3 linked regions of the Elephas maximus indicus genome follow. The protein of the gene in region 3 binds, or shares a complex with, the protein of the main gene of each other region. Links are inferred from orthologs where the notes say so. Each region holds a gene or a part of one and is shown on either strand. Other genes may lie near its edges.

The links.
Region 1: EXOSC8 (region 3) and EXOSC5 share a complex: the UniProt entries of both Homo sapiens proteins name them as parts of the RNA exosome core complex. The link is inferred for Elephas maximus indicus from reciprocal best matches to the Homo sapiens genes EXOSC8 and EXOSC5.
Region 2: EXOSC8 (region 3) and EXOSC4 share a complex: the UniProt entries of both Homo sapiens proteins name them as parts of the RNA exosome core complex. The link is inferred for Elephas maximus indicus from reciprocal best matches to the Homo sapiens genes EXOSC8 and EXOSC4.

What each region holds. Positions count from the first base shown.
Region 1 is NC_064829.1:109,793,514-109,797,260, reverse strand, and holds the start of EXOSC5 (exosome complex component RRP46), read right to left. Parts: upstream 2,640-3,747; 5' UTR 2,545-2,639; coding exon 2,397-2,544; intron 1-2,396. Other genes in the region: BCKDHA (2-oxoisovalerate dehydrogenase subunit alpha, mitochondrial), read left to right, coding at 2,979-3,146. UniProt on the Homo sapiens protein: Non-catalytic component of the RNA exosome complex which has 3'->5' exoribonuclease activity and participates in a multitude of cellular RNA processing and degradation events.
Region 2 is NC_064833.1:815,160-818,906, forward strand, and holds EXOSC4 (exosome complex component RRP41), read right to left. Parts: upstream 2,734-3,747; 5' UTR 2,609-2,733; coding exon 2,438-2,608; intron 1,332-2,437; coding exon 1,125-1,331; intron 1,026-1,124; coding exon 666-1,025; 3' UTR 251-665; downstream 1-250. UniProt on the Homo sapiens protein: Non-catalytic component of the RNA exosome complex which has 3'->5' exoribonuclease activity and participates in a multitude of cellular RNA processing and degradation events.
Region 3 is NC_064832.1:18,315,923-18,319,669, reverse strand, and holds the start of EXOSC8 (exosome complex component RRP43), read right to left. Parts: upstream 2,763-3,747; 5' UTR 2,734-2,762; coding exon 2,699-2,733; intron 1,449-2,698; coding exon 1,412-1,448; intron 1,218-1,411; coding exon 1,154-1,217; intron 515-1,153; coding exon 441-514; intron 1-440. UniProt on the Homo sapiens protein: Non-catalytic component of the RNA exosome complex which has 3'->5' exoribonuclease activity and participates in a multitude of cellular RNA processing and degradation events.

The sequences.
Region 1 (3,747 bases), on a different chromosome or scaffold from region 3:
ATTCAACTTTCACCAAAAAAAAAAAAAAAAACCCAAACAAACCAGATGCTGTGGAGTTGGTCCTGACTCATGGCAAGTAGAACTGTGCTCCACAGGGTTTTCAGTGGCTGATTTTGGGGAAGCAGGTCACCAGGCCTTTCTTCTGAGGCACCTCTGGGTGGACTCAAAAGTCTAACCTTTCGGTTAGCAGCTGAGAGCGTGAATGATTTGTGTTACCCGGGGACTCCCATCTTCAACCACAGCCCCATTTATCTGATGCTCTTACAGTAAAACTCCCCAAGACTTGCCTTCACTCCCTGTCTCTTCCTCCTCTTCTCCTTGACCGAATAACAAAGCTTTGGACCCCATCCTTCCACTAAAGCAGTCCTTGGCAGAGTCACCTTCCCGAACCTCCAAACTGCCAAACCCATAGGTCTCCTGTGCTCGCGTGGCCCAGCCTCTCAGTAGGACCAACAAGGCTGTCTACCGTTACTTCTCAAACACGTTCTTCTCTTGGCTCCAGGTCCGCCCCCTCTCCGGGTTTTTCTCCTACCTCACAGGCTGCTCCTTCTCAGTCTCTTTTGCTAATTCCTCACATGTCCATGAACTCTCAAAGCTGAAGACCAGGGCTTAGTCCAGGACCTCTTCCCATTTCTATCTCTACTCATTTCAGGAGTGATTCATCCAATCGATTGCTTTAAACACCATCTACAGCCAGAGGATTCCAAAGCGTATATGCCCAACTTGGCTCTCTCCTCTGAATTCCAGAATTGTATCAACAACTGCCCATTGCACATTTCCACTCTGATGTTTAATACCAAAACCCCCAAACCAGTCGAGTTGATTTCAACTCATGGCGAGCCCAGGCGGGTCAGGGTAGAACTGTGCTCCATAGGGTTTACAGTGGCTGACTTTTCAGAAGCAGAAAACCAGGCCTTTCTTCTGAGTGCCTCTGGGTGGACTTGAACCCCAACTTTTCAGTTAGTAGCACAGCATTTAACCGTTTGCTCCACCCAGGGACTCCTGGTATTGCAAACATAACGTTCCAGACTGAACTTATCTTCTGTTGTCACAGCTGATCTGGAGAAAAGCCCAAAGCTTGACTAGAACAGTGGCTTTCAAACCTCCCTGATTCTTTTTCTAGTATCTCCAAACCAAATCATCTGCAAATACTGTTGGTTTTTACCTTCAAAATGCATCTAGGCTCTCACTGCTTCCACCCTGGTCTGAGCCATCACCACCTCCTCCCTACTATGCTCCCTCCAGTCAACAGAGCAAGCAGCTAGAGTGATACTGTTCATATATTCAGACCATGGCACTCCTTCACTCAAAGCCTCCAATGGCTCCCATCTCACTCTCTAGACCTTATATCATCAGCAATTCTCCTTACCACCCTCTGACCCCCTCTCCCACTAACTCCTCTCCACTTGCTGCTCCAGCCACATTGGCCTCCTGACTGTTCCTCAAACAAGGTCTTGTCTCAGGGCCTTTGTCCTTGCTGTTCCCCATGCCTGGTATACTCTTCCTCCTGAGATCTTCAGGTTTGTTCCCTTGCCTCCTTCAGGTCTTTATTCAAATGTCACCTCCTCAGTGAGGCCTTCTCTGACCATCCTATTTAAGATTCTAGTCCTCTGCAGCACACTCTATTCCCCTTCCCTACTTTATTTTTATAGCATTTTACTATATGTTTTACTTATTATTCTTATTTATTGTTTGTCTCCCCCACTAGAATGTAAACCCTATGAGAGCAGGGATTTTTTTTTTTTTAATCAGTTTTGGTCAGGGAGTCAGGCCTAACTTAAGAAGTATTTAGCTCAAGGAAAAAAATATTCGTCCAATAACTATAACTCGCCCCAATCTTTACTCATATGCAGATATGTGTATCCCAGTCAAAGGGGTGTTGACACAATTGGTGGAGCTGGGATGAAGGAGATCTTTCTTAACCCAGCAGTAATTATTAGGATAAAAGGCTGCCACAGCTACGGTCTAGCTCGTGGTGGTGATCTGCCAGTCTATGGGGTATTTATACAGATGGGAGGTTTGCCTCAGCCTGGAATATATGGACCCGGGCTGTGTGTGGGGTGAGGAAGGACGAATCTATTACAGGGAGTTACTTACCCCATGAGAAAGTTTTCCCTATTTTGGAGTATTCATTCTTATGGGGAGGACTGCCCTTCCCTCATCCTGCAAAGTATTTACGAGGGTGGAGATACCTTCCCACTTCTAGTCGGGAGGGAGAGATCTATCCCGGCCTAACCAGTATCCACGCGGGAGACACAATACAAGGGAGACACTTACCAGCTAGTATCGTGGGGAAAAGGGACTCCTCGTTGCACGGTACACTGTAGCCGTCCCCCGCCAAAAACAAACACCGCATGCGCGAACTCTTCCCGGGCAGTATTGACCTGGGTTCTTACCTTGCAGGAAAGAGGCTGAGCCATCCGGCCTGGACAGCAGATTTTGTTCGCAGGCAAAGTGTCGGAGGCTGCAGCCGGGGCCCCCGGGGCCAGCCTCAGCCCCAGGCTCAGTACGGATCTGGGTGTCTACCTGCATCGCCCCCTCCATCACTTGGGATTCCACGTGCAGTCCGCCACTGTAGCTTCCGCCCAGCCATGCGCGCCTGCGTACAAGCTACCCATCCAGTACGCACGCGCCCATCTCCCGGCGCTGCGTCTGGCGGCTGCACGTGGCTCAGCGTTTACCAACACTCTGGCCCCGCCCACCCCCGCCTCTCAACTCCAGGGAAGCCATTGGACAGCGGAGAAGGGGCGGAGCCTGGCATGGTCGCTTTCTTCCCGAGGCCCCCGGGCCCTGAAACCCTGAGGCTATGATTAGGTAGCCCTCTTCTTTGCCTGTTACGGAAGCAACAGCAGTAAGGCGGTCGGAGACTTTTTTAGGAAGCTGTATTGTTTTGTAAACTCATCTCTGCGTCCTAGCGTCGCCAGAAGCGGAAGCAGGTGGTTTCTTGGCAGGGTGGTGCAGGCAGCAGAGTCAGGCTCATGAAGTGGCAGCCCCTGACCCGAGGCGATAGGAGAGCCAAGGAGCAGCTGTTAGCCAAGATGGCGGTGGCGGTAGCTGCGACGAGGTTTTGGGGGCCAAGTCGAGGCCTGGGCAGGGCCGGCCTACTGCTTCTGAGGCGACTTGGGGCTCGGGGAGTGGCCTGCTCTGTGAGTACCTGGGGCCCCCGAGGAGTTTTCTCTAAGTGGGAACAGGCATATAGACGCTGTCTTCATTCAGAATGTGAGGTGCTTGCAGAGAGTGAAGAAAGGACAGTCAGGGAAAGGACAAGGGCTGGGAAAACCACGTGGAGAGGACACTCAAGGAAAGAACCTCCACTTCCTTGGGCGAAGAAAAGCGAGGCAGCCCCTTCGTGGGTTCTGAGGGAGGAGAACTCCTTATGAGTTGTGCCCCACCCCCAGCGCGTCTGCTTGGAAGGATGGGGGAAGGCGAGACAGTTCCCCTCAAAGGTTGGGGAATGAAACTGCCTTAGTAAGGAAAGGTCTTTCTTTTGGGTAAAGAATTCCCTTTATAAAAGAGGAAGGAGAGACCAGATCCCCCTGTCATGGGCTTTTATAAAGCAAAACCAAACCCGTTGCCATCGAGTTGTTTCCGACTCATAGCGACCCTACAGGACAGAGTAGAACTGCCCCATAGGGTTTCCAAGGGTGTAATCTTTACAGAAGCAGATGCCATATCTTTCTCCTGCGGAGCGGCTGGTAGGTTTGCACCGCTGACACCCTTTTGGGTCGCAGTCGAGCGCTTTGATCA
Region 2 (3,747 bases), on a different chromosome or scaffold from region 3:
ACCCTGGTGCCCGCTGCAGGGGCTGGTGCTCAGGCTCAGGCCGGTTTGTGGCAGGCGGTGGAGCCAATCTTCAGAAAGGAGGTTGTTGAAAGGGAAGCTTGCAGAGGGTGCAGTGGCTGTGGTGTGTGTGTCCGACCAGGGATGGTCAGACCTCGGAGGGAGAAGACACCAGTGAGAGCAGGCGTCTGCTGTACTTTTGGAGCCCAAGAGACATGCAGTCTGAGCCGTGGCCCAGAGGATGTGGGAGATGGCTCCACATCCCCTTGCTGGTACCCACAGCTACTGAGTTCTCTCTCAAGCCCTATGCTCAGGCCCCCTAGAAGGGTGTGGTGGGTGGTGATGTACAAACCCCACAGTGTAGCGGCCTGGCTTTTTCTGCCAGGCCCACGTCAAAGCTCTCTGCCTTCAGCCTTTCCTGGTCATGCTGTTCTCTCCACTGAGACCACCCCCCAGGCCCAGCTCCATCTTTCTCTTCAGGTCTGAAACCTGAGGGTGCAGGAGGTATGCACTTGACATATGGTCGAGGGCCTCTGGTTATCCCAGGAACAAACACCAGGCCAGGCTATGGGGCGTGGAAGCTCTGTGGGGAGGGTGGGGACTGAAGCACAGCAGGGCTCGTGTGAGCAGAGAAGCAGGACTTTATTCAGAGCGTGGTGGCCAGGTGGTCAGTCCCCCAGCAAGACAGAGGCCTCTCGCACATGCTGCCGGACCACACGGTCCAACAGGGTATGTACATCGCGGGCAGCCCGGGCAGCAGCCTCCAGCACCGGCTCCAGGTGGTCCTCGTGCAGCCGGGCGTCCATCTCCAGCAGTGCAATCTGGCCTGAGGCTGGCAGCAGGGCCAGGGCCAGCTGGGGGCCACCAGCTGCTTCCTCCACGTGGCTCAGGTCCGCCAGGGCTGTGCCATCCACAAAGCCAGCTGAGCATGCACACACAAAGTCCCGCATGGGTATACCAGCGTCCATAACTGCCAGGGTAGCTGCGTTCACACAAGCTGCGTAGGTCCCACCATCTGCCTGCAGCACCTGCAGGGAGCCCCCGAGGCCATCGGTCGGTCAGGCTGCTGAACCCTCAGCTCCATCCCCACATCCCTGCCCCCAGGCTGAGGGCTGCTGCCTGCTCACCTGCACATAGATGTCAATCTGGGAACGAGGGTGCAGCTGTGTGAGGATGGCTGCCTCGAAGGTCTGGCGCAGCTGCAGGCCCATCTCGCAGGACTTGCGGTCCCCATGTGGTCGCCGCTTGCGCTCGCCTGTGCTGAAGGTCGCTGAACTGTACTGACAGTTCACCAGTGCCCGGTCAGGCAGGGCTCGTGCCCGGGAGCCCCGGATCTAGGGAGGAAGGGCCCATGAGCCGGACCACTTCTCCCAGCACACGCTTCCCTGTCCTCTGTGGCTCAGGCCCAAACCTCAGCCCCTCCCCCTACCTCCAACGGCTCACCAAAGGGTAGCTACTCACCTCCGAAACACAGCCTGAGGGAGGCCCACTTGGGCAGCCTAAGCCACCATCACCTCTGGCATCACATCTCTCTAAACTGCCTCCCTCTTTCCATCCTTGCCCCACCCACTTCCACCCTCCACGGGGCATCCAGAGTTTATTTACAAACACCAAGTCTGGTTCTCACCTACACACTCACATGTCCTGCTTACCTTCAAAGGCTTCATACCGCGTGTGAAATAAACCCCAAACCTTTCCCTGGTCTACAAGGTCCCGGATCCTCTCCTTCCTGGAAACCCCTCAACCTCATCGGGAATTATTCCTCCTTCGACCAACCAGTAGCCTTTCTGCTCTGCACACACGCTGTGCTGGTTCCCACCGTTCTGGTTCTCTCAGTCTGGAAAGCTGAGCCCCAGACTCATTCGCCAAGCAAACATTTTCTTCAGTGCCTACGCCGCCGTCACTGTGACAGTGCTGGGGGCGCGGCAGAAAAACTAATGGTCCCACCGTGTCCTCGTGGCGTTTATGTTCCAGTGGGGGAGACAAACATAAATTTCATCTATTGAGAAAGTTGATGTTTTCAGGTGATAGGCACAAAAAGGTAGAGAAAGGAATAGAGGTGTGCGCTCGTAGAGAGAATTTGCCACGTGGATAACGGGGTCCGCTACGCTATCATCCGGACGGCGACGGACAAGCCACAGGGCTGAGTGCCCAGGTGGGGCGGTGGGGTGCGCGCGGCACCCGCAGGGACAGCGAACAAGAATGCAGCGCGCAAGGGACAAGGCCGATGAGAAGTGCGGACCACGTGCGGCACCCAAGTGAAGACTTCGGCTTCTACTCCAAGTGAGATGCGGCCCTGACGCCTCTGCTCAGTGAACCGAGGAGCACCCCGCCCCGCGCGCCCCGCGCGCCCCGCGCGGCCCGCGCGCCCCGCGGCTCCCGCCTCGGCCCGATCCCTCCACCTGCCCGGAGGTAGCCCGGCCGGTGCACACCCACTCGCCTCGTGAGGCCCGTAGACCACCGCCAGCGCCTTGGTGTTGCCTTGCTCAATGTAGGCCGAGCCGTCGGCCTGCGCGAACACGCCCATCCGCGCCTGGATCTTGCGCAGCTCCCCGGCTCGCCGCCCGTCCACGCGGTAGCCCTGATCCGATAGCAGCTCCAGCCCCGCCATGCCACTAGGTAGCCAGCCCCGCCATGCCACTAGGTAGCCAGCCCCGCTCGCGGAGAACTACAGTTCCCGGCGGCCCCGCTCCCTACGTCCGACTTCCAGGATCTCGGTTTCCGGCGAGTCCGCGCCCACTTCCGGTCAATTGGACTTGGGTTTCCGGGGGTCGTGTCACTACTTACGACCTCGGGAACTACAGTTCCGAGGGCCCCACTCCGCATTTCAGGTCCCGGGGAACGACCGCTGCACTGGCCCGGGACGGAAGCCTGTGGCCGCGGCCGGTGGCGGAGCCTTCCTGCGGCGGGGCGCTGTTCTGACGGCCCCGGGGCCCTCCCGCTCTGGCCGCCGCTGCGCTTCGGTACACCGGTGGGCAGAGGACGCCCGCCCCAGCCCCGCCGGGCGCACCTCTTTGGCCAGAACCCGGAGGCCCGAGGGCGCCGAGCCTGCGGGTCCAGCTCCGCTCAGTCCCCGGCGCCAACTGGCTCGACTTTGCTGCTTCTTGAGAGGCGCCTTCGAGGTTCTCCGGGCGAAGCCAGCGGTTGTCGGAGTGGAAGCCTCTACTCTGCAAGCAGACCGTTTCCTGTCGTTTCACTTTCTTACCGTTTAGACACAATTTTACATCATACGCATGTGTGGTCCTGTTCTTTGAAGGGCAGTTTAATTTTTTTTTTAAGGAAAAACTATCTATTTTGGATATATATTTTTTTAATTGTGCTTTAAGTGCAAGCTTACAAACCAAGTCAGTTTTTCATCCAAAAACTTACATACACCTTGCTGTATACTCCTAGCTGCTCTCCCTCTAATGAGACAGCACACTCCTTCCCTCCACTCTCCATTTTTGTGTCCATTCTGCCAGCCTCTGACCCGCTCTGCCCTCTCATCTCCGCTCCAGACAGGAGCTGCTCATATAGCCTCATGTGTCTACTTGATCCAGGAAGGTGACTCCTGACCAGTATCATTTCCTGTCTTACAGGCCCTGTCTGAAGAGTTGGCTTTGGGAATGGCTCCTGTCTTGGGCTAACAGAAGGTCTGGGGACCATGACCTCTGGGGTCATTCTAGTCTCAGTCAGACCATTAAGTCTGGTCTTATGAGAATTTGGGGTCTGCATCCCACTGTTCTCCTGCTCCCTCAGGGGTTCTCTGTT
Region 3 (3,747 bases):
TAAAGCACCCAGCAAGGAACCTGCAATACAGCAGGCACTCAGTAAATGGTAGCTATTATCGTGTCACACTTTTCTCTTCAACAATCTCTATGTTCTACACATTTCACACAGATTAAATGCCATCACTGGCTAAAAGAATGCTGCCAAAAATCTCTTAATTTGCAATGACAACCAGTTTCTAAAAATAAAGGGTGGTGAGATTAAAAATAATTTCATTTTGGTACATTTGACAAATGTTCCTAAATTATAACTGAGTCATTAAACTAGGGCTGTATTATGTAACACTCATAGATAGGTAGAAGCTCTTTGAAAATTAAAGTAAATATCAAACAACTGATACCTAGCTACCTAATCAAGAGTAGAATTAGAACAGTATATTACAATCTAATATATGGCACTACTTTGCTAATTCACATCAATAAGATACAGATTAAACCTACCGCTTTAATTCCACAAATTACTGTCGTATTTCCCAGCTTCACTAAAGCAGAACCATCTGCAGTACTAATTGAACCTGAAAAGATATTTAGGTAAAATGAAAAAGTTCATTAAAAAAAAAAAAAAACAGCTACAGAATTATCTATATAATAACTAAAATGTTAACCTCAGTTTTCTAAATATAATATTAGCCATCTACACATCTGTAGTCTGTGGCTTATGAAAATTTATAGCTCAGGAGTCTGATTTTAAAATGCTATAACTATTTAAAATTACTCTTTTAAGAAATATTTGCCTGCCCTTGAATTTGAGTTAATCATTTTTCATGGACAGTCACAGGATCGTTGTGTACATAAATCTAATAGGAAGAAATCACTCCAATTCCATAGACATGGTAGGATTTGGCTGAAATATGTTTAAGTGGCTCACAGGCTAGAACTTGGGCATATCATACAGTTGGAAATGGAAAATACCATATTTGCATCAAGAAGACTGAATAAGTATTAGGCCCATAAGAAAGCCTTGTCTTTGTGGTTTTGAAGGAAGAAAGGGAAAAAAACACTTTATAGTTATTTTGAAATTTAAATGAATTTATCAGTTGAGAGGGTAGTAAACTTACAAATAATTCTCTACTAATATACAAAAACTAAGAAAAATACTATTTTACAAACTGCTTAACATCAACATCCTATTTTAGAACTCAAAATATCCTCACCTACGTTGACAGTGGTGGTTCTGAATTCACCAAGTTCTCTTCCATCAGGACGGCAGTTCTCTTTCTGAATAAATGTAATGTTTATTTATATGAAAATGGAACATATACAGGTATATTTTACACACAATCAGGTAAAACACATTAAACCATGTTAATGCAAAATAAATTCAAATTCAAATTATTTAATTTGAATATCTGAAATTTGTCCTTAAAAGAAGCATATGATATTGTTATGAAAAAGACAGTGACATTACTGACCAAAAATCTCCTGTAATACTCCAGAGGTTCCACGGTTCTGAAATGCATGAGTTAAAAATTTATCAGGCAAATTAAAGAATCTTAACATAAATCCCAAAACTGGCAAGGCTCTTAAGGGTCTGGTGATCCAGCCAATCTCCAAAATTTGTAGCTAAGTTTCTTACATGAATTCTGATGTCTATGTTATCACCTATAAGTAATTATAAAAAACAGAGCCCTATCACAGTAGCAATTGCACTAAATCACTATTCTTCACTCTTCCTTAAACAATTACAGGGTTAGAGACCAAAGCCCTTGGACATCTTTAAAAATGACTTAATCCAGGTGTTAAAATAATCATGCTATTCTTGCTCTAAAGCTGAGATTTTTAACCTAGTGAGCATGAAAAGTTACATTTTTATTTTCACTATCGTATAGGGTCGCTGGAAACCCTGGTGGCGTCGTGGTTAAGTGCTACCACTGCTAACCAAGAGGTCCACAGTTCGAATCCGCCAGGCGCTCCTCGGAAACTCTACGGGGCATTCTACTCCGTCCTAAAGGGTCGCTATGAGTCAGAATCCACTCGACGGCAATGGGTGTACAACGGAAACTTAGTATATCCTTCAATTATGACCACAGACAATAAACCAAAATAACATTAATAGCACCAGTGAGACCCACGGATACGTCCCTTTTACATTTTACTTGTCCAAGGTTTTTTTTTTTTAAGGTACCTTTAGGCTCATCATTACTCTGAAATTCCAGTAATTACTACATTCACCACTAGATCTTGTTTAAGAAACTTCACTTTAAAAAGTACTCGTATTAACAGATACATAAATGTATTACAATATAACTGGCTTCCTTTCTTATTTTATCCTTTTAAAGACATTGTTGTCAGGCGACCAAGGGCTTCACCAGAGCGGCACAGAAAGGTTTAACTCAAACTTCCGAACAAGCAACAATCCTTTTAGAAATAAATAACAAGAAAGGAGAACGAGGCGCGTGTGATCACAACCGGTCTCCCGGGTCTGCACGTCCACCCAGCCAGCTGACGAGCGCTCGCAGGGGGTTCAAGGCTCCGCGCACCCAGACCCTTCCCTCTCCCGTCCCACTGGGGAAAAGTCCCTTTCCTTTCACCGCAACTGCTCTGGTCGCCTGCTTGGGCAGGGAAAGAAGTGTGACCCCGGCGGGGACCGCTTCCAGGTGAAGGAATCCTAGCTATAACGTTGAAGGGGCCGACACCCAAGCCTGCGGCGGCTGCCCCGCTGAACCCAAAAGTCCCGCCCGCGGGCCGCCGACACTCACTTGAAGCCGGCCGCCATCTTCCCGCCGGCGCGCATGTGCGGCGTTGGGTGCGCCTGCGCACTGTGCACACTGAGGCGCGCGCCCTTCGCCCGCCTCGGAGAAAGCGAAAGGCGGGGATGCGCTCGGGGCGGTGGCGGTCTGGGCTGTGCCGGGCCCGGCTTGGGCTCAACTGTCCCTGGCCAGGCTTCCGGTCGCCGTTCTTGCCTTTGATGTGTTTGGTGCCCCTCTTTGGAAGCATGCTGCTAGTTGAGAGTAAAGCCAAGAATTTAAGAGAGCCGAATTTATAACAAAGAATCGAGCGTTGAGTGTGGAGCATTATTTCAAAGTGGCTACGTCCTTTCCCGTCTCCGTCGTGGCCGGGGCCTGCAGCGTGCGTCTCCCCAACACGGGAGAATTACCGAACTTTTTGTGCTGTCGCGGTCAGCACCAGGCTACACTTCAGCAGAGCTGGAGAAGGCTCCGAAGGAGCAGCTTGTGTTGTGTAGACTATGTCGTGGCTCAAGGCCTCCACCACCCTCCTGGTTAGGATTGCTAGATGAAAAACAGGACAGGCCCACTGCTGTCAGTTCCGACTCAGCGACCCTGTAGGACAGAGGAGAACTGCCCATCGGGTCTCCAAGGCCGCAGTGTTGACGGAAGCCGACTGCCACAGCTTTCTACCGTGGAGCGGCTGGTGGGTTCCCACCTCCGACCTTTAGGTTAGCTCCTAAGGTAGAGGACACCCAGTTCAATCAGATAAGCAATATTTTAGTATGAGTAGGCCCAAAATAGTCCCGTTGGCACAGTGGCTAAGAGCTCAGCAGCTAACCAAAATGTGCGCAGTTCGAATCCACCAGCCTTCCTTGGAAACCTGTGGGGCAGTTCTACTGTGTCCTATAGGGTCGCTATGGGTTGGAATCGACCTCAGAGCAGTGGGTTTTGGTTTCTTAACGTTTTTACTTGGGAAATCTGGCAACCATACCAAGAAAGGGCCAGCCTGCCCTGGGCGCTGTGGCCTGCCGTGGCCGCGCGGGGGCGCTGTGGCCGGCGGGCGCAGGCCGGCGTGGCCT